Linked DNA regions of Elephas maximus indicus. The protein of the gene in region 2 purifies or fractionates together with the protein of the main gene of each other region. This does not show direct contact. Links are inferred from orthologs where the notes say so. Each region holds a gene or a part of one and is shown on either strand. Other genes may lie near its edges.

Evidence for each region. Proteins that work in one complex are often made in the same cells at the same time.
Region 1: the proteins of GSK3A (region 2) and FRAT1 purify together in Homo sapiens (affinity purification with mass spectrometry; 4 studies listed by BioGRID and IntAct, with this or other methods). This does not show direct contact. The link is inferred for Elephas maximus indicus from reciprocal best matches to the Homo sapiens genes GSK3A and FRAT1.
Region 3: the proteins of GSK3A (region 2) and GSKIP purify together in Homo sapiens (affinity purification with mass spectrometry; 7 studies listed by BioGRID and IntAct, with this or other methods). This does not show direct contact. The link is inferred for Elephas maximus indicus from reciprocal best matches to the Homo sapiens genes GSK3A and GSKIP.

Annotation. Positions count from the first base shown.
Region 1 is NC_064834.1:49,097,650-49,104,914, reverse strand, and holds FRAT1 (proto-oncogene FRAT1), read right to left. Parts: upstream 3,015-7,265; 5' UTR 2,825-3,014; coding exon 2,015-2,824; 3' UTR 499-2,014; downstream 1-498. UniProt on the Homo sapiens protein: Positively regulates the Wnt signaling pathway by stabilizing beta-catenin through the association with GSK-3. May play a role in tumor progression and collaborate with PIM1 and MYC in lymphomagenesis.
Region 2 is NC_064829.1:108,673,978-108,681,202, forward strand, and holds the start of GSK3A (glycogen synthase kinase-3 alpha), read left to right. Parts: upstream 1-4,194; 5' UTR 4,195-4,379; coding exon 4,380-4,662; intron 4,663-5,708; coding exon 5,709-5,750; intron 5,751-6,236; coding exon 6,237-6,424; intron 6,425-7,225. UniProt on the Homo sapiens protein: Constitutively active protein kinase that acts as a negative regulator in the hormonal control of glucose homeostasis, Wnt signaling and regulation of transcription factors and microtubules, by phosphorylating and inactivating glycogen synthase (GYS1 or GYS2), CTNNB1/beta-catenin, APC and AXIN1.
Region 3 is NC_064828.1:117,391,138-117,398,787, forward strand, and holds the start of GSKIP (GSK3B-interacting protein), read right to left. Parts: upstream 3,015-7,650; 5' UTR 1-3,014. UniProt on the Homo sapiens protein: A-kinase anchoring protein for GSK3B and PKA that regulates or facilitates their kinase activity towards their targets.

The sequences.
Region 1 (7,265 bases), on a different chromosome or scaffold from region 2:
ACTTAATGTTTGCACCACCCAGGGAATCCTTTAATGACTGCACTAGTAAGAAAAAAACGATATGTTTCCCAGTCTGCGATGACTGATCTGATGTCCCTTGCTAACATAGTCAGAAAAAAAAAAATCATAAATCATCTCCATTACTAAACAGTAATCCAAATGGCTCTGAGGTTTGGGTGAATGGGATTGGTCCAAAGCCTGACCTCACTTTCATTGAATTTCATGCCAGGACCAATACACACCCAGCACAGACCTTGTCTAACTAGTGAGATCCTCAGTCACAAAGACGCTGTAATTACCATCTCAAAGCCAGGCTGACAGGGATTTCAGGTGTTTTCATGTTTATGGAGATCAGAGAAATGTGTTCTGTACATCTTTTCCACTGAGCGGAAGGATAAAACCAAGCAAAAACCCAACACATTTATTCAAAACGTATTTAAGATAAAATCCTATAATGAGGATAGCCACAATTCCAGACACTCCAGTGCCAAGTGTAGATAGCCACATCCAGATGATGGACAAGCCATTGACTCCTACAAAGCTAAAGCAAGAACTAGAAGGTTTTAGCTCCCTTGGAGTGAGTGCGCAGCGTGCTCCAAGCACTTCACCACGGTTCACAAAGGCAAAGCCTGCTGCTTCTCCATTTGGAGAGTAGCATTTTCTACTCGGTTTACTTCACTTACAAAGGCGAGTGGGCATGGCTGGCGGTGGGGTAGAGGGAGGAAATCAACTCCTATCCAGGAAATTGCAGCTGTTATTGCAAAAAGCCCCGGAGAGCCCATTATAAGCTGCAGTGAGAGGCTGTCCCTGGAGTGCCTGTCACGTGGCGTCTCCCCAGCCCCCAGCCCGGGCCCCCAGGAACGCCCGCGCCACCCGCTTGAGTAGGAGAGGAGAGCCGAGGGACAGAGGTGGGATCTGGGGCCACGTCTCAGGACAGTGTCCGTGACAGCCCAGAGCGTGGCCAGGGGCGGCAGCCGTCAGTGGGAAGCACAGGCTCCGGGCACAGCCCAGCCTCTCCACACCCGCGGTGGCGGCGGCGCGCGTGTCCTCAGGAGACTCCAGCAATTGCAAAACACCGCGCACTTCTCGGAGTATAGGCAGAGCCCGGCGACTCTTCTACCCTGCTGGAGCCTGGCACCGCTATGTGCGACCAGAAAACTGACCTTGACCCGGAGGAGGGGCGGGGCGGCTGTTAAAAGCCACTTTAGAGAGGACCGACGGGTCACTCCCCGCCTCACTCTACCTTTCCACCACCCAACACCTCCTGTCCGGGTCCTACTCTCCTGTCCCCAGGCTAGGAGTACAGCCTTCCCCGACGGCTCTGAAAACAGCAGCCGGCCCCAAAGAAGGGGCAGAGAAAAAGGCTACTCCTATTCAACCCTCAAAGGTTCCTTTCATGGTACGTGCGTTTTATATTAAGAAAGAGCACTTCAAAAGACATGAGGTCCTTTTTTAAATGTAAAATTTCAGGCCTGGCAGTTTGAGGTGCTCCCTGGAATTATCAATGTCTATTTGTGTTTCCCTCCCTCAAAATGGATCAGGGACCAGCCCTGAAACGGTTGATCAAGTAACTGGGATCGCCCTCCAGCCTGAGCCCAGTGAGGCCGCTGGACTCGCGACGAGGGCGTCCGGGCCCCGGTCCTGGACAGCGTCCTTCCCGAGCTCTGCTGTCCTGAGTAGGGTGGACTGTAGTCACATGGCCACCAGGCTGTAGGGCCCTGAGAAGCTAGCTGCAAGGAACTGCACGCTGCGCCACCAGTACGTGTCTTATTAGGACTGGGGTTGCGAAATGTAATCTGCCTTGAATAGGGCCAAGACCTGTATTTCAAAGAGAGGGGCGCTTGTCCCCAGCTCCCCGCGGAAACCTTCGCGATTTTCCTATTCCTCGTCTTCATTAGCTTATATTTTCTGCTTTCAAAGGCGCGAGTTCTCCGTTAGTCTCGAGCAGGGCTGCAGTCCCGTGGGTACCCCCGACGCCTAGTCTGAGGCTGGCGCTGTGGGTACCCTGGGCTTGTTAGCTGCTGGGGACAAGAACTCTGTCTGCAGTTCTGAGCGGCGCGCTCCTCCTGGACGCGCCAGGGTCACTACAGGCTGCGCGAGAGCTGCGGGGGAGCACAGGTCCCGGGAGCCGGCGTTGGGGAAGCTTTGCATATAAATGCAGCCGTCGCGAGCGAAGCCTCCGCACTGCCTCCTTGATGAGGTTTCCCGAGAGTAGGAGCTGCTGCAGGAGACGGTGAGAGTCGTCGTCGCTGGTGCGGCCTTTGGCCCGGGGCCCGAGTCGCTGTCGTAGACGGCGGGAGGCGGCTGCACCCCGGAGCCATCCTCGCCGGCACCGCCCGGACAGCTGCCGCGAGGCGCCCGGCTTGCCGGATCCGGGAGTTCCTTCAAAGCCGGGCTGAGGGGGTAGTAGTGACAGCGCCGTGGGGCCGGCGGCAAACTCGGCCACTAAGTAGGGCGCAGCCCAGTCCCGCACGCTGCCGCAGTCCCCGAAGGTGCTATACAGGGCTCCTAGGTTCGTGGCCTCGACCGATGAGGGCGGCAGATGCAGCGGCAGCGCCGGGGGCCGGGCCCTGTACGCCGGCACCTCAGCCAGGGGCAGCGGTGGCTGCAGCGGCTGCCACGGCGGTGCGCACAAGGAGGCCGGGCTGTCCTGCGCCGGGTCCAGCTGCAGCGCCTCGCCTATCTGGGCCACTAGCCGGTCCACCTCGGCCGATCCGCCCAGCCTCGCTGGCTGCTCCAGCAGGAGAAAGCTATCCTCCTGCTCTTTTTCCTCCCCCTCCGCTTCCTCGCCGGCTTTCTCTTCTTCCTCCCTGCGGCACGGCATGGCCCCCGGCCCGGGCACCCGGAGCTCTGCAGGCGTCGTCGGCGGCCCGGCTCCCGTTAGGGTTCGGTGGGCCGCAGCAGAGCCGGGAGTGATCCTGACGCCAAAGCCAGGGCCGGGGATGCGGAGGACTAGGAAGCCGGAGCCCGCCAGGCGCTCGCTGCGCGCCTGCAGTCGCGGGAGCCAGAATTCTACCCGCTGTTAGATTTGTAAACAATGGGTGACGTAGCGCCCGGCCCTACCACAGCGCGGGGACTGGGGGTGGTGTGTCATTCGAGGGCAGGGGTCCTGCAGGTCTGGGGTTCAGGTTGAAGCCCTGCTGCCTCTGAGCTCAGGATGGCCGAGTGCGGTGTGCGGGAGTGCACTGGGGAGCTGATCCTGGCTTTCTTAGCCAGCAGTGATAGGCATTTCCAGAAGTTGGACACCGACGCGGACACCATTGGTTTCTTCCACACACAAGCACATACACTTAGACACACACCAACACACACCCCTTCTCTCGGCGCGACAAATATTGTTTTAACCTTCGCGCTTTCGTGATCCTGGGTGCTGGTGCTTGGAGAGTGATGACGAGAAGTGCTGGAGAGGCAAAGATGGAGAGGTGGGGGAGCCAGGCAGAGGGCCTGGCTAGAGGTTAGGAAAACAAGGCTGACTGGGATGGAAGGTAGGAAGGGACACTTCGGTGCAAGTGGTAATGGCGGAGTTGGAATTGGCAAAGACAGGCCACACATTAAGGTGATTAGTGTTTCTTGATCAGGCGGATGGGCGTGGGGGGCCTGGACTAGGGCTGGAGTTGCTGAAGACAGAGGAGAAGGTTGACGGGCTTGGGGGGGGCCGTGAGCTAGAAAGGCTTCTTTTAAGAAAAATTCCGCAGCCCAGTAGGGAGGATCCCTGCTGAGGTGCTAGCAGGAGGGGAAAATGGAAAGCTGTTTGGTTAAAAATGGAGATGTGGGTTAGCTTAACCTTTGTAGATATTATGGTTGGCTTAGTGGTAAACCAAGACTTCATTTTTAACCAAAGGAGCAGAAAATGATCCTTTAGTGTCATGTTGCTTGGGGATTTTGGACTGTTATTCAAAATTCCAAGCCCTCCAGGCCTAACTTTCAGACACTGCATTTATAGGTAAGCTTTTGGTGGACCTGCCTTTAAAAGCCAACCAGGCCATCACCAACTGAATTATGGTGATGGCTGCACCACTAAGTAAATTCACTAAAAATAATTGAAAGTTCTCTTCAGATGACTGAATTTTACTGCATATAAATTACATTTTGGAAAAGTTGTTTAGGAAGCCTGCTTGGCTGCTAAGCAAAAGGTTGGAGGTTTGAGTCCACCCAGAGGCATCTCATAAGAAAGGACTGGAGATCTATTTCCAAAAAATCAGCCACTGAAAATCCTACGGAACACAGTTCTGTCTGATACACGTGGGGTCGGTGTGAATTGGAATCTACTCAACAGCAACTGGTTTTAAAGTTGTTTTAAAAATTAGCCACAAAGCACACACCCACAAACACACAGAATCCAACAAGGAGAGTTCGGACTCTGTGCAAAGCAACAGGGTGCTTGTTACTTTATCGATAACAGAGGGGGATGCTTTAGAAAGGGGATGCAAGAGGGAAAGATTGGGGGCCAGGGATCCAGATAACAAGTAGAAATCGAGGGTATTGGTGAGTGGTGCTGAGGATGACACTTAGAGTAATAATCCTTTAGGAAGTGGTGGAATGGAATGAAATCCTGGACAACTTCAGTATTTTCTCCATTTATCATGATGTTGCTCATTGGTCCAGTTGTGAGGATTTTTGTTTTCTTTATGTTGAGGCGGAATCCATGCTGAAGGCTGTGGTCTTTGATCTTCATCAGTAAGTGCTTCATGTCCTCTTCACTTTCAGTAAACAAGGTTGTGTCATTTGCGTATTTCAGTTTGTTAATGAGTCTTTCTCCAAACGGGATGCCCTGTTCTTTTTCACATAGTCTAGCTTCTCAGATTATCTGCTCAACATACAGATTGAATAAGTGCGGTGAAAGGATACAACACTTTCATACTGTTCCTGGTTTTAAACCAGGCAGTATTCAGCTTGTTCTGTTTGAAAGACTGCCTCTTGGTCTATGCACAGGTTCCACATGAGCACAATTAAGCGTTCTGGAATTCCCATTCTTCACAGTGTTGCCCATAATTTGCTATGATCCACACAGTCATATGTCTTTGCATAGTCAATAAAACACAGGTAAACATCTTTCTGGTATTCTCTGCTTTCGGCCAGTATTCATCTGACATCAGCAATGATATCCCTTGTTCCATGTACTCTTGTGAATCCTGGCAAATTTCTGGCAGTTCCCTGTTTATATAGTGCTGCAGCCCTTTTTGAACGATCTTCAGCAAAATTTTACTTGTGCATGATATTGCTTGATAATTTCTGCGTTCTGTTGAATCGTGTTTCTTTGGAATGGGTGACCTTTATTAGGTTGTAAATGTTTCCTTCCATTCCTGATTTTTCGAGTGTTTTTATCGTGAAAAGACCAACAACTTATTTTAAATTGTTCATTTGAGAATGTGGTCAAAGCAGCCATTTATTAGCTATACTATTCTGAACCTGATTCTTTAAAATTTTAAGATGAAAATAAATAGGAGCAGTTTCTAATCTCTGTTTTTATTCTTTGGTTCAGGATTTATAAGCTTCAAGCGTTTTTCTGGGGTTGAAAATGGTATGACTGCTGCCTTAGTCATCTAGCGCTGCCATAACAGAAATACCACAAGTGGATGGCTTTAACAAAAAGAAATTCATTTTCTCACAGCCTAGTAGGTTACAAGTCCAAATTCAGGGCGTCAGCTCCAGGGGAAGGCTTTCTTAGTGGTATGAGGTCCTCAACTCTGGTTGCTTCTCTTTCGTTTAATCTCCAAAATGTGGTGCAGGCCACATCCCAGGGAAACTCCCTTTACATTGGATCAGAGAGGTGACCTGAATAAGAGTGGTGTTACAATCCTACCCTGATCCTCTCAACATAAAATTAGAATCACAAAATGGAGGACAACCACACAATACTGGGAATCATGGCCTAACCAAGTTGATACTCACATTTTTGGGGGGACATAATTCAACCCATTACCCAAAAAACCCAGTGCCGTGGTGTTGATTCCAACTCACTGCGACTCTATAGGACAGAGTAGAACTGCCCCATAGAGTTTCCAAGGAGCGCCTGGAGGATTCGAACTGGCGACCGTTTGGTTAGCAGCTGTAGTACTTGACCACTATGCCACCAGGGTTTCCTAATCCATGACAGCTTATAAAATAAACAGTATCACCTGTGAGTACTGTGCTCCTTTGAAAAATCATCTGTGTGAGACCAAACTTGTCAACATATACTCTAAAGAAAGATGAGAAGGTAAGGAGAGGGGGGCAGGGAAATTTGATTAATGGAAACAGAATAACCAGAATGGAAATAATGATAATTTCGATACACTATGAAAAATGGGAAACCCTGGTGGCCTAGTGGTTAAGTGCTACAGCTGCTAACCAAAGGGTCGGCAGTTCGAATCTGCCAGGCTTTTCTTGGAAACCCTATGGGGCAGTTCTACTCTGTCCTATAGGGTTGCTATGAGTCGGAATCAACTTGACAGCACTGGGTTTGGTTTGGTTGGTTTTGTGAAAAATGTAACCAATGTCACTGAGCAATTTATATAGAAATTGTTAAGTGGGAACCTAATTTGCTGTGTAAACATTCACCAAAAACACAATAAAATATTATATAAAGAAAATCATCACATGAATCAATCTGAATCTTTTACTTTTGACAAACTTCTTTTTGGAATTTCATTCTGGGTAGAGCATTGTTTTACAGATTGTGGGGTCCCGAAAGCTACCGTTTCCCAACAAAGGTGATCCAGCCGAATGTGGAAATTATAGAACAATATCATTAATATCACACGCAAGCAAAATTTTGCTGAAGAGCATTCAAAAACGGCTGCAGCAGTATATCGACAGGGAACTGCCAGAAATTCAGGCCGGTTTCAGAGGAGGACGTGGAACCAGGGATATCATTGCTGATGTCAGATGGATCCTGGCTGAAAGCAGAGAATATGAGAAGGATGTTTACCTGTGTTTTATTGACTATGCAAAGACATTCGACTGTGTGGATCATAACAAATTATGGATAAATTGTGAAGAATGGGAATTCCAGAACACTTAATTGTGCTCATGAAGAACCTTTACATAGATCCAGAGGCAGTTCAAACGGAACAAGGGGATACTGATGGGTTTAAAGTCAGGAAAGGTGTGTGTCAGGGTTGTATTCTTTCACCATACCTACTCGATCTGTAGGCTGAGCAAATAATCTGAGAAGATGGACTATATGAAGAAGAATGGCGCATCAGGATTGGAGGAAGACTTATTAACAACCTGCGTTACGCAGATGACACAACCTTGCTGGCTGAAAGTGAAGAGGACTTGAA
Region 2 (7,225 bases):
ATTCTGTATTGGGGATGGGGGGGTGGGAGGTAGGGAGGGGCTGCTGGAGAATGTATTCAAAACAATAAAACTTCGGACCTTTTTCATGCAGTGATCTGTCCTGGGTGCTGGGTGTAGGCACCACGGGGCCACAGCTTTGGCTTGATTTTCAAAAGACAGGGCCCTGGACTTCCCTGCACCTGCAGTGGGTCTGTGGCCTGGTCTAAATGGGTCAAATCCGGGCCTGGGAAGTGACCTCCTGACCTCAGAAATGATTCAGGTCTCAGCAGACTCTGGCCCTGTATCTGACTGCTTCTTTATTCCTGGAAAAGTGCTTGGGACTTATCGCCACCACCGAGTTGCTCTCACTGTTCTGGTCACCTGAAATGCCCTGGCTCCAAGTTCCCATACCCTGAGGTCCCTAGTGAGGGCCAGGGAGTGCTTTTGCACTGCCCCCATATCTCGCCTTAGGTCACTTCTAAGCAAATCAGGAAATCCCTGGGAGACAAGTCCTGAAACATCTTGAAATGTTAGACCTTACTACGTACCTTAGTGGAAACGCCCCCAGCCAGCAAGTTGAGGAGGGACTGGTTTGATAACCACAGTTAACCATTCATTGACCTACTTCGTGCCCAGCACCTAGCTAGAAGCTGCAGTGGTTTATCTCCTTCAAGACCCAGCAAGGTAGGGGCAACCAGCTCAGTTAAATGACTTGCCCAAGGCCAAGAGGCGGTAGGAAGCAGAGCCAGGACTTTAAATGAGATCAGCCTCCAAAGCCAGTGTTCTTTCAACAACTCCTTTGAGTTTTCCTCCTTAAAGCCAAGATGGTTGGATCAAGATCAGGGACTTGGGATCACAGGATAAAGTTAGAAACCAAGATTGGAGAGCTTTGTAGGATGAGGGATCAAATAATCCGTGAGAAATCCGGGTTTAAAGTTTCCTTAGAGACAAGCTCAACCTCTTCAGTGCAAGTGAGGTCCTTGAGGAAGAGAAGAGAAGGGGTTTCCCCAAGGCCATGGCATTTAGGGCTTAGGGCTTGTTGGATTGGCTTCACTGCAGTACCACCCGGTGCAAGCCTGAGGGGGATGGAACATTGGCAACTGTCTACCCACTCTCCCTTAAACCTCATCTCATGCAAGCCCAGAGTGGGTGGTCCCAGATAATGGCAGTGAAGAGGATCCAGGGATGGGGTATTGGCAGGAAATCCAGACTCCTATGGCGGGCTGCGGGCAACTGCTCCCTCTCCTGGGTGATGTAAGTCACTCCCTGGGGTGGGGGCCCCTGGGAGCGGCTGTGCTGGGTTATTTCTGGAAGTTGGGCTGAGGCATGTCTCCTAGCAACACAGATGCAGTTGAGAAATTATTGGTGGTGGGTGATGGAGAAAGGGGGGTGTCACTGGAGGAAGGGGGGTAGGACCCTTAGCTCATGAAGAGTTTTTTTCAAACACTGCTAACCAATTCTAAAATGGATTAAAACGTTCTCAGCTCCAGAACTGCTCTCCAGGATCAGACCACAGTCCTATCAGCCTTCTTGTCCCAGATTCTGGATAAGGGGATGTCAGGTAGCATCTGGGCTTGACAACTCCAGTGGCTCCCCCAATCTTGAATGACACATCTAAATCTATTCACAGGCCTGAAATACTAAAGTGTCCTGCAAGACACCCTTGGTTCTCTCCATCTCCTCTGAAGTCTTTGGCTACAAGTATAAAGTACTTTATAGATTCTTTACATATTCACTTACCTCATCAGAGACCCTCTTCACATCTAATAGCCCCCAGCACCCCGACAGATCCCTATAGCCCCTTCCTGATGCTTCTCAACCATCCCTCAACCCTTCAGGTCCCTCAGAGATCCCTTAGACACCAGTAGATTCTCCATCTCCCAAAAGCCTTTTACGTCCCCTCAGACTTCTCTGCTTGTCCCCAATAATTGCTCTCAGGTGCCTACAGCCCATCAAAGATCCCTTCACCTCTTCAAACCCTCAAACCCTCCTGACACCGTTAGGCCCCTCATAGACACAACCCATCCCTAGCACCTGTCTATGAATGTTTTCAGCCCCTACAAACATCCTGACAGATGCCCTTAGATCGTCGCCCTCAGACTCCCATGGGCCCCAATAACCTCAGCAGCGGTTGCCTACGCGGAGCCCACTGCGTATGTTCTGGCCGTTAAGTAACCGCCGCTACCCTGCCCCGCTCTGCCGGCCTTGTCGACCTCCGTCCTGTCCAGTGTGGTCTCCAGGCCCTGGCGCTTGGCTCAGATTTTTACTTTCCTGCTCCAAGCTGCCGTCAGAGGGCAGCAGGCGCCGCTTAGCGAGAAACTACAACTCCCAGAAACACCTGCTTCAAGCTATGCGTGATACAGCCTCATGCCGTGAGAAAGAAACGGAGCGTGCCCGCGTTTTGCCTTCTGGATGATGTAGTCCGAAAAGGTTTTAGCGCTAAAGCCAATCTCGCCCCAGGGCGCTGTGTCTGCTGGGAATTGCAGTTAGAAACACACTGAGTGGACGGGATTTTCTTTAGGCCTCAGAAAAGAGCAGAACAGTTCTGCTACCTGAGGCTTGGATTAGCGTCCAAAGACTCCATTTCCCACCATTCCACGAGGCAGGAGGAGCCAAGAGCGCTTTCGCTCTAGTTTCAAGTGTTGGGGGTGAGACGCACGCACGCACGCACGCACGCACGCACGCACGCATGCACGCACAGACGAACTCTGTTTCCCAGCGCACTTTGGGGTTACGCTCCTTCTCGTTTAATTGATGAGGCGACTCAACGAACACCAACCCTAGGCTACAGCTTGCAGCTGGCTTCGCTGTTTTGAGCGCTCCGAACCTCAAACAAAACGCAATGCCGTGCATTCAATTCTGACTCATAGCGACCCTGTAGGACAGATCAGAACTGCCCCCAGGGTTTCCAAGGCTGTTTTTTTTTTTTTTTTTTTTACATCTTTTCGGAAGCAGAGTGCCCCATCTTTCTACCGCAGAGCAGCTGGTGGATTCCCAACCACTGACCTTTGGGTAGAAGCCGAAGGCTTAATCACTGTGCCACTCGAGCTCCTGTGAGCCCTCCAGGATCCTGTAACTTAGGATGCGGGCGGACGCAAAGAGCTGAGTGGGGGTTCAAGACAAATTCTATTTTCATTTCTTTTAACGCTTGGCTCAGCCTCGTAGTGCGACACATGTTAGAAAAAGATAGACCGTATCCGAAAACTGTGTTCTGAAAGACTGTTTCCCAAATCTTTTAGAGGAGGGATGTTTTTCTTTTTCTGCCTAATGTAAGGACACCTGGAACTTGAGTGCTCGGACTCAATTTTTCAACATCCCCCGATCGACTTCGGCACTTTCTTGGGTCCTGGGGGACAAAAAAGGAGGCGTTGAAACACATTTCAGTATCTCAAGGGGAGTGCCATCTGGCTCAGTGGTAGTCATTGGACTCCATTTCCCGGCAAGCCCCTGCGGTCTCGTTTCACAGAGGGGGGGTCAGAATCCGGCCTGGACCCTGGACTATTCCCCAGCGTGCTTCAGGCTCAAAGTGACAACCTTCCTCTTCTCCTCACCCCTCCCCCCGCCAATGGGGAGGCTACCTTGAACTTCAATCCCCAGAAGCCACCACTCCTCGTGTAGCAACTGCGCTGACGCCTTGGTGTCGACTACATTTCCCGACAGGAAGTGCGGCGGAGCGTACAAGGGAGGGGGGACGAGGTTCCAACTCCATTTCCTAGCCTATCTCCGGAACTGCAGTACCCCCTGGGGCTGAGGAACCTCACAGGACTCCATTTCCCGGCTTGCTTTGGGAACTCCTTTACATCCGCAATGCGGTGTGGGCGCGGCCACGACTCCATTTCCCAGTTTGCCCCACGGTTCGATATCTTCAAGTCTACGGACCGACTCAATTTCCCAGTGTGCACCTGGAGCCGGTATTCACTGGTTACCGGACTCCAATTCCCGGCATGCACCAGACACTGCTCATTGACGGAGTGCCTGCGACTACTTTTCTGAAGCACCTCTCGGGGCTCGCCGTTGCCGCAGTGTAATAAGTGTGGGGCCCTGACTATGTTCCAAAGTGCTTCGCGTTCCGCCGTCTGCAGTTCACCGATGGATTGCCCAGGAATTTATTTCCCAGCGTGCAGTGCGACCCGTCGTCCCCCGCCATCTTCCCTGTGGCCTTTGCGAACTCCATTTCCCGGCGTACCACGCGGCTTTCTCTACGGGCCGACGGCGGTGACACCGACGCGCAAAGCAAGCGGACTGCATCTCCCGACGTGCTCCGCGGCGGGCGCTGGGCCGGAGCCCGAGCGGCGCGGCCTGAAGGAGGCCGGAGCACTGAGGAGGCGGCGGCAGCAGCAGCGGCGGCGGGGGCAGCCCGGGGAGCCCGAGCCCCTTGGCCTGGGTCTGCGCTCGGCGCCATGAGCGGTGGCGCGCCTTCGGGGGGCGGCCCTGGGGGCTCGGGCCGGGCGCGGACCAGCTCGTTCGCGGAACCGGGCGGCGGAGGCGGAGGCGGCGGTGGCGGCCCCGGGGGCTCGGCCTCCGGTCCAGGCGGCAGTGGCGGCGGGAAGGCGTCGGTCGGGGCCATGGGTGCGGGCGTGGGGACCTCGAGCTCCGGGGGTGGCCCCAACAGCAGCGGCGGAGGAGGCAGCGGCGGCCCAGGCGCGGGCACCAGCTTCCCGCCGCCCGGAGTGAAGCTGGGCCGTGAGTACTGGCTGCTCCCGTGGGAGGTGGAGATTGGGATTCCCGGGGTCCCTCAAATGTCGATCAGGTTCTTTCATATACCCAGATAAGAGCCTGAGGTCATTGTGCCTCCCAAAACTGGCGTTTGAGCTTTTTACTTTTCAGAGAAATGAATTTTGGGGTCACCATTATTTAGAGTTTACAGTCAGAATTATTAACTTTTAGAGAAGCGGGCTACAGTCCGTGCTCTTCCATTACCAATGTCTCGCGTTTTTGAGTTTTAAAAACAAGTTTGGATATTCGTATCCCTTAAAGAACAGGTTTTGGGGTCACTGTCCTTTGCAAATGGGGGCCTAAGATTATTGTGTTCTAAGAAAACAAGAATAAGATCGCCATCCTCCAAAAAGGGAGATCCGAATTTGTTGTCTCTCAAAGACTGGGGATCTGGATTCAGTATCATTTACAAACGGGGATTTGGGGTTATTGTGTCCCAAAGAACAGGGCAAGGGTTTTCTAAACCTGATAACCAGGTCATCTTCCCTTTTAAAACACCTGGTCGGGCGTCATCACCGGCCCAAAATATGTAGTACTAAACCCCCAATGGTGGAAATTATTGATTATTGCATCTGAGCAATAAGGACAGGTGTCACCAGCCCCCCACAGAACAGGAATTGAGAGTCACCATGCCTTTCAAATCCACTGTTATTTAAAGAACATGGATCGGTGGGTGTTTTTTCACAAAAATGGAATGGGGGGGGGGAAGAGTCCTCCCTAGAATGTGGATTTGAAGTCGTAATTCTCTTAGTAATTTTTCTGGAGTATGGTGCCACTGGGTCTGAAAAAGTGATGTAGGGTCATCTCTCTCCAAAAGAGAATCGCTGTTACTGGGTCCTCAGTTCTCAAAAGAAAAGGGGTCACTATTCTCTAAGAATGGTTCCAAAGTTTGCTGCTCTTCAGAGAATGGGGATTGGGAGTCATAGTTTTTCTTTAAAGAACTGAGGCTGGGAGAGCCCCCTGATGATAGGGATTAAGTTCATCATTCTCACAATTTGGTGCTTGTCTGTCAGGTAGGAGTCTGGGGCCCTGGACTACCCAGATGAGGAGGTCAGGTCAGTGCCTTTTCTAACCCCGTAGTAATTGGGTAAGGGGTAACTCCTCCAAAAGTGAGAGTCAGGGTACCACCACTCTATGAGGAGAGGTCGTTCGTTTTTGTCACCAAGTTACTAGCTCTACCTGAGAAACTTAGAAATTACTAGCCCCGCAGGCGTTTTCTCAAAATAGGAGTATCTCAGGGTTATCGTTCCGTTAAAAGTCAATAAACCCAGAGTAGATGGATTCAACCAAGAGTGACCAGCCATTTATTGCTTTCTAGAATGGAAGTTGTATTATCAGCTCTTGAACAGTGAAGAGATTTAGGTGTCAACATGCTCCCCTATGGAAAGAGGCAGGATTTAGGGTTTCACTGGGAGGGTTCCAGCATCCACCTTGCCTCAAGGAGGGGGAAGGAACAAAGAGGCCCCCTCCCCACAGCCCTGGGATGGGGTGGTGGCCAGAGGGGAAATGTCAGTGGATCATCTGTCCCCATTGTCCCCCAGGTGACAGCGGGAAAGTGACCACAGTGGTAGCCACCCTAGGCCAGGGCCCAGAGCGCTCCCAGGAGGTGGCTTACACAGACATCAAGGTGATTGGCAATGGCTCTTTTGGGGTCGTGTACCAGGCACGGCTGGCCGAGACCGGGGAGCTGGTGGCCATCAAGAAGGTTCTCCAGGACAAGAGGTTCAAGGTACTTAGGGGGGAATGGGAAGAGGAGAGTTGGGCATTGGACGTAACCTGGTGCGAGAGCCCTAGCAAAACAGATGGAGCCTGGGTTCCACAGGAGATCCAATCATGGCCCAGAGGAGAAAGGGGTAAAGAAGGGAACGAGGTGTAGGGAAGACAGGAAGTGTTGAATCCTGGAGATACCAGAGCTGACATTTGTTGAGCGTTCATTCTGCGTAAGTGCTTTATGAGGTTCCTGGGTGGTGCAAACGGTTTGCGCTCAGCTACCAACAGAAAGGTTGGTGGTTGAACCCATCTAAGCAGTGCCTCAGAAAGAAAGACCGAACAATCTGCTTCCCTAAAGATCACAGCCAAGAAGATCCTGCAGAGCTTTGTTCTACTCTGTGACACGTGTAACGTATGCTTCATAGGCAAGCTTTTAGCTAATTTACATATTCTCTGAGGGTTGGTACTGTCCTTATTCCCGTTCTAAGCAGGCAGAAACTGAGACTCAGATAAGCGAATTGCATAGGAAGCGTCTACGTTAAGGTTGGAGTCTGGCCTGTCTGATTGCCAGGCCCTGCACCTTAACTTCTAGTTACATTTCTTCCCAGAGGAGAAAGGACACTGGCAGGGCCATGGAGGTCCACTCTGCCCCAGGTGCTTGGCGAGTTGCGCTCACCAAACCCTGCACTTTGCTGCCGGATGCCCTTCTCTCATTCATGTGAAGGTGCCCAATGGGCTAGTGGAGGCCCAGGGCACTAGAAGAAGATGGAGAAGAAGAAAGTAGAGGAATAACTGGTGTGCAAAGGACTGGCATTTTGGA
Region 3 (7,650 bases), on a different chromosome or scaffold from region 2:
GGTATTAACAGAAGGCTGAAGGGGGATCCCTGTGTATCTCCACCTGGCGCTCTAGCTCTCTCTGCAACTCTCTACATTCTAATAATCTGTCCTAACTACCTTGATCTTCCCAGACTCCTAGCTCCATGTCCTCAGCTTAGGGACCCTGCTGGGCTCTCCAGGGTTTTTCCTTCCCGTGCTGTGGTCTGTAAAGTCCTTCCAGGCAGTAAAATGGGGAAACTGTAGGGCTTACCTTGTTTACTGTCTCTCAGAAATCACTCTCCTTCAACGCCTACTGTTCAAAGTCCTGAGAACTTCTGTTTCATATATTTGCCAACTTTTCTGCTGTTTCAGTTGGGAGGGTCAATCCAGTCTGTTAGTTTATCTTACACAGAAGTGGAAACCCCATCAGCCAATTTGAGGTAACTTTGAAATCTTATATCTTTTCTTTCATTGACTACATATACTTTGGTCTCTACGATATTACTTTGAACCAACTTTACCATCTTGCTGGTTCCTTCATTAACGAGTTAAATACATTTTTGACACATACTCATTATACAATGCTTTGTAAGCCACACTTTTAAAAAACTGTGATTTAATACTATTTTGCAGGCTTTTAGTCCTTCAAAATTCAGCTCAAATCCACCTATTTCAGGGGCTGTCTCTGATCTCAAGACAGTTACTATCTCCTTGGCACTGTCTGTATGGGCACCGCCATACTTACCATACCTCACTACACATGATTTTTATGTCTTTACTACCACAGGCCCGTAAGGACGGGGACTTGTGTGTATCACCTGCACAGTGTCTGGCATAAAGCAGGTCCTCAATGAATATCTTATGAATGAATAAACCAAAGAAAAAATTCTAACACTTCTTCCCAGGCTGTGGTACTCAGCTCTGTGGCACACAAAACCACAGAATGAGCATGGTGGGCATTCCTGGAAAACACCTTACACAGCCAGAGTAACAACCTAACGGAGGACAATGCAGAACTGCCTAGAATTCTGAAGGAAAAAAACACAAATATTTTGAAGTCTCAAGCCACACTTCCACACCTTTGGGCTTCCTTTGCCTCTGAAGAGAATATGTGAGCACAAATTTGAGAAGTACTGATCTAATCCAAGGAAGCCCACTGCAACTGAGTTGATTCCAACTCATAGCGGCCCTACAGGACAGGGCACAACTACCCCTACAGGTTTGCCAAGGAGCGGCTGGAGGATTCGAACTGCCGACCTTTTGGTTAGCAGCCGAGCTCTTAACCACTACACTACCAGAACTAACTAAAAAATTCTAGGCATTGGCACTGGGCCTGGGGCAGGAATGAGAGTTGGTAGAAGGGTTAGTATTGAGTCCTTCTCTAAATCTTTACCACTCTCTTCCACTGAAGTTATTGTTCTTCTATTAAAAGTTAAGGTAATAATTAACGGCTTAATTTTTTTTAATAGTCTAACTTTTCTATGGTGAAAAGAACACAGTATTTTTAGTAAGAAAAGAACTTAAAGTTATGATACATTGGAAAATACAGGATCTAGGGTGCAGAAAGATTTTTCTTCTTAGATAATATGGCCTTGGTGATAGATACAATGCTGGAGATCGAGTGATAGGATTCTGCAAGACCAACGACTTCTTCATTGCAAATACCTTCTTTCACCAACATAAACGGTGACTACACACATGGACCTCACCAGATGGAACACACAGAAATCAAACTGACTACATCTGTGGAAAAAGACGATGGAAAAGCTCAATATCACCAGTCAGAACAAGGCCAGGGACCGACTGTGGAACAGACCATCAATTGCTCATATGCAAGTCCAAGCTGAAACTGAAGAAAATCAGAGCAAGTCCACGAGAGCCAAAATATGACCTTGAGTATATCCCAGCCGAATTTAGAGACCATCTCAAGAATAGATTTGACGCACTGAATACTAGTAACCGAAGCCCAGACGAGTTGTGGAATGACATCAAGGACATCATACATGAAGAAAGCAAAAGGTCATTGAAAAGACAGGAAAGAAAGAAAAGATCAAGATGGATGTCACAGGACACTCTGAAACTTACTCTTGAATGTCAAGCAGCTAAAGCAAAAGGAAGAATTGATGAACTAAAAGAACTGAACAGAAGTTTCAAAAGGCAGCTCGAGAAGACAAAGTAAAGCATTATAATGACGTGCAAAAAGCTGGAGATGGAAAACCCACGGGAAGAACACACTCAGCATTTCTCAAGCTGAAAGAACTGAAGAAAAACTTCATGCCTTGAGTTGCAACAGTGAAGGATTCTATGGGGAAAATATTAAACGACACAGGAAGCATCAAAAGAAGATGGAAGGAACACAGAGTCATTATACCAAAAAGAATTAGTAGATATTCAACCATTTCAGGCGGTGGCATATGATCAGGAACCGATGGTACTGAAGGAAGAAGTCCAAGCTGCTCTGAAGGCACTGGCGAAAAACAAGGCTCCAGGAATAGATGGAATATCAAGATGTTTCAACAAACAGATGTAGCGCTGGAGGTGCTCACTCATCTGTGCCAAGAAATATGGAAGACAGCTTCCTGGCCAACTGACTGGAAGAGATCCATATTCATGCCTATTCCCAAGAAAACCGAATGTGGAAATTACAGAACAATTTTATCATCAATATCACACACAAGCAAAATTTTGCTAAAGATCATTCAAAAATGGCTGCAGCCCAACATCACTCTAAATGGAGAGAACCTGAAAGCATTTCCCTTGAGAACGGGAACCAGACAAGGATGCCCTTTATCACCGCTCTTATTCAACATTGTGCTTGAAGTCCTAGCCAGAGCAATTAGGCTAGACAAAGAAATAAAGGGCATCCAGATTGGCAAAGAGGAAGTAAAATTATCTCTATTTGCAGATGACACGATCTTATACACAGAAAACCCCAACGAATCCTCCAGAAAACTACTGAAACTAATAGAAGAGTTTGGCAGAGTCTCAGGTTATAAGATAAACATAGAAAAATCACGTGGATTCCTCTACATCAACAAAAAGAACATCGAAGAGGAAATAACCAAATCAATACCATTCACAGTAGCCCCCAAGAAGATAAAATAGTTAGGAACAAATCTTACCAAGGATGTAAAAGACCTATACAAAGAAAACTACAAAGCTCTACTACAAGAAATTCAAAAGGACATACTTAAGTGGAAAAACATACCTTGCTCATGGATAGGAAGACGTAACACAGTAAAAATGTCTATTCTACGAAAAGCCATCTATACATACAATGCACTTCTGATCCAAATTCCAGTGTCATTTTTTAAGGTGATAGAGAAACAAATCACCAACTTCATATGGAAGGGAAAGAAGCCTCGGATAAGCAAAGCATTACTGAAAAAGAAGAAGAAAGTGGGAGGCCTCACTCTACCTGATTTCAGAACCTATTATACAGCCACAGTAGTCAAAACAGCCTGGTATTGGTACAACAACAGGCACATAGACCAGTGGAACGGAATTGAGAACCCAGATATAAATCCATCCACATACAAGCAGCTATTTGACAAAGGCGCAGAGTCAGTTAATTGGGGAAAAGATAGTCTTTTTAACAAATGGTGCTGGCATAACTGGATATCCATTTGCAAAAAAATGAAACAGGACCCATACCTCACACCAAGCACAAAAACTAACTCCAAGTGAATCAAAGACCTAAACATAAAGACTAAAACAATAAAGATCATGGAAGAAAAAATAGGGACAACCCTAGGAGCCCTAATACAAGGCATAAACAGAATACAAAACATTACCAAAAATGATGAAGAGAAACCCGATAACTGGGAGCTCCAAAAAATCAAACACCTATGCTCATCTAAAGACTTCACCAAAAGAGTAAAAAGACCACCTACAGACTGGGAAAGAATTTTCAGCTATGACATCTCCGACCAGCACCTGATCTCTAAAATCTATCTGATTCTGCTAAAACTCAACCACAAAAAGACAAACAACCCAATCAAGAAGTGGGCAAAGGATATGAACACACACTTCACTAAAGAAGATATTCAGGCAGCTAACAGATACATGAGAAAATGCTCTCGATCATTAGCCATTAGAGAAATGCAAATTAAAACCACGATGAGATTCCATCTCACACCAACAAGGCTGGCATTAATCCAAAAAACACAAAATAATAAATGTTGGAGAGGCTGCGGACAGATTGGAACTCTTATACACTGCTGGTGGGAATGTAAAATGGTACAACCACTTTGGAAATCTATCTGGTGATATCTTAAACAGTTAGAAATAGAACTACCATACAACCCAGAAATCCCACTCCTCGGAATATATCCTAGAGAAATAAGAGCCTTCACACAAACAGATATATGCACACCCATGTTTATTGCAGCTCTGTTTACAATAGCAAAAAGCTGGAAGCAACCAAGGTGTCCATCAACGGGTGACTGGTTAAATAAATTGTGGTATATTCACACAATGGAATACTACGCATCGATAAAGAACAGTGACGAATCTGTGAAACATTTCATAACATGGAGGAACCTGGAAGGCATTATGCTGAGCGAAATTAGTCAGAGGCAAAAGGACAAATATTGTATAAGACCACTATTATAAGATCTTGAGAAATAATATAAACTGAGAAGAACACATACTTTTGTGGTCATGGGGAGGGGGAGGGAGGGTGGGTGGGAGAGGGTTTTTTTACTGATCAATTAGTAGATAAGAACTGCTTTAGGTGAAGGGAAGGACAACACTCAATACATGGAAGGTCAGCTCAACTGGACTTGACCAAAAGCAAAGAAGTTTCCAGGATAAAATGAATGCTTCAAAGGTCAGCGGAGCAGGGGCGGGGGTTTGGGGACAATGGTTTAAGGGGACTTTGAAGTCAATTGGCAAAATAATTCTATTATGAAAACATTCTGCATCCCACTTTGAAATGTGGTGTCTGGGGTCTTAAATGCTAACAAGCGACCATCTAAGATGCATCAATTGGTCTCAACCCTCCTGGAGCAAAGGAGAATGAAGAACACCAAGGTCACACGACAACTAACAGCCCAAGAGACAGAAAGGGCCACGTGAACCAGAGACCTACATCATCCTGAGACAAGAAGAACTAGTTGGTGCCCAGCCACAATCGATGAGTGCCTTGACAGGGAGCACAACAGAGAACCCCTGAGGGAGCAGGAGATCAGTGGGATGCAGACCCCAAATTCTCATAAAAAGACCAGACTTAATGGTCTGACTGAGACTAGACGAATCCTGGCGGTCATGGTCCCCAAACCTTCTGTTGGCACAGGACAGGAACCATTCCCGAAGACAACTCATCAGACATGAAAGGGACTGGACGGAGGGTGGGTGAGAGATGCTGATGAAGGGTGAGCTGATTATATCAAGTGGTCACTTGAGACTGTGTTGGCGTCTCCTGTCTGGAGGGGGGATGGGAGGATGGAGAGAGTTGGAAGCTGGCAAGATTGTCACGAAAGGAGAGACTGGAAGGGCTGACTCATTAGGGGGAGAGCAGGTGGGAGTACGGAGTAAGGTGTATATAAACTTACATGTGACAGTCTGACTTGATTTGTAAACATTCACTTGAAGCTCAATAAAAATTAATATAAAAAAAAATGGCTGCAGCAGTATATTGACAGGGAACTGCCAGAAATTCAGGCCAGTTTCAGAACAGGAAGTGGAACCAGAGATATCTTTCTGATGTCAGATGGATCCTGGCTGAAAGCAGAGAATACCAGAAGGATGTATACCTGTGTTTTATTGACTACGCAAAGGCATTCGACTGTGTAGATCATAACAAATTATGGATAACATTGCAAAGAATGGGAATTCCAGGACACTTAATTGTGCTCATGAGGAACCTGTACATAGATCAAGAGGTGGTTGTTTGGACAGAACAAGGGGATACTGATTGGGTTAAAGTCAGGAAACGTGTGCATCAGGGTTGTATCCTTTCACCATACCTATTCAATCTGTATGCTGAGCAAATAATCCGAGAAGCTGGACTATATGAAGAAGAACAGGGCATCAGGATTGGAGGAAGACTCGTTAACAACCTGCCTTATCCAGATGACACAACCTTGCTTGCTGAAAGTGAAGAGGACTTGAAGCACTTACTAATGAAGATCAAAGACCACAGCCTTCAGTATGAGCCTTCACCTCAATATAAAGAAAACAAAAATTCTCACAACTGGACCAATGAGCAACATGATGATAAATGGAGAAAAGACTGAAGTTGTCAAGGATTTCATTTTACTTGGATCCACAATCAACAGCCATGGAAGCAGCAGTGAAGAAGTGAAAAGACACATTGCATTGGGTAAATCTGCTGCGAAAGACCTCTTTGAAGTGTTGAAAAGCAAAGATGTCACCCTGAGGACTGAGCTGCGCCTGACCCAAGGCCAGGTATGTTCAATCGCATCATATGCGTGTGAAAGCTGGACAATGAATAAGGAAGATCGAAGAAGAATTGATGCCTTTGAATTGTGGCGTTGGCAAAGAATGTTGAATATGCCATGCACTGCCAAAAGAACAAATCTGTCTTGGAGGACGTACAACCGGAATGCTCCCTGGAAGCAAGGATGGCGAGACTGCGTCTTGCATACCCTGGACATGTTGTCAGGAGGGATCAGTCCCTGGAGAGGGACATCATGCGTGGCAGAGTATAGGGTCAGTGGAAAGGAGGAAGACCCTCAGTGAGGTGGATCAACACAGTGCCTGCAACAATGAGCTCAAGCATAACAACAACTGTGAGGATGGCCCAGGACCAGGCAGTGTTTCGTTCTGTTGTGCACGGGGTCGCTATGAGTTGGAGCTGACTCGATGGCACCTAACAACAACTATTAATAAAGTTAAAATAACTAGCAGTTACCAGTTCCAAATGAAAGGAGAGGTTTGAATTTAACCTGCATTTCAATGTTCTGAACATAAAGGTCAATAAAGTTAATCAACCAAAATTAGTAACACTTAGAATTCGTTGTTAGGTGCTTTTGAGTTGAGTCCGACTCAGAGTGACCCTATTTATGACAAGAGTAGAACTGCTGCAGAGTTTCCCCGGCTGTAATCTTTACAGGAGCAGATGGCCAGGTCTGTAGTCCCACGGAGTGGCTGGTGAGCTCAATTAGCAGCCAAGGGTTTAACCACTGCACCACCAGGGCTCCTGCCTTAGAATTTAGGCAAACTAAAAGCTACTTAAACTTTTATTTCATGTAACACATAACATTTGATCTCTTTTCAATAGTTCTGAAACATGTACCTTGACTGTGAAATTAAACATTTAAAATGAGAACCCTTTGTAGCGTTACAAATAGAAAGTTTAGTTAAACAAAGGTGGTTTGTTTTTCCACTGACGTATCTATTTATAAAGTTTCTTTGCATTCCCCTCTCTGCAAGGACAGACACACACACAACCTGGTAATTACAGATTATGCAACCGGTTTTACATCGTGCCGTTTCTGATCAAGGTGGGTGAAGAAGCACACAGTGTTAATCTGAGAAACCTTTTAAAATGTAAATAAGCAGCAACATGAAAACCCTGTAAGCAACCTTTTGTTCAAAACCAGAAACTGTAAATGAGATTTCTAAGAAAAGACTCTCAAAACTGAATGTTTAAAAAATAAATCCCAGGAATTACAGGTTTTTATTTCTGTATAACCCTCTAGAAAATAATCCTTTGGTGCCTTA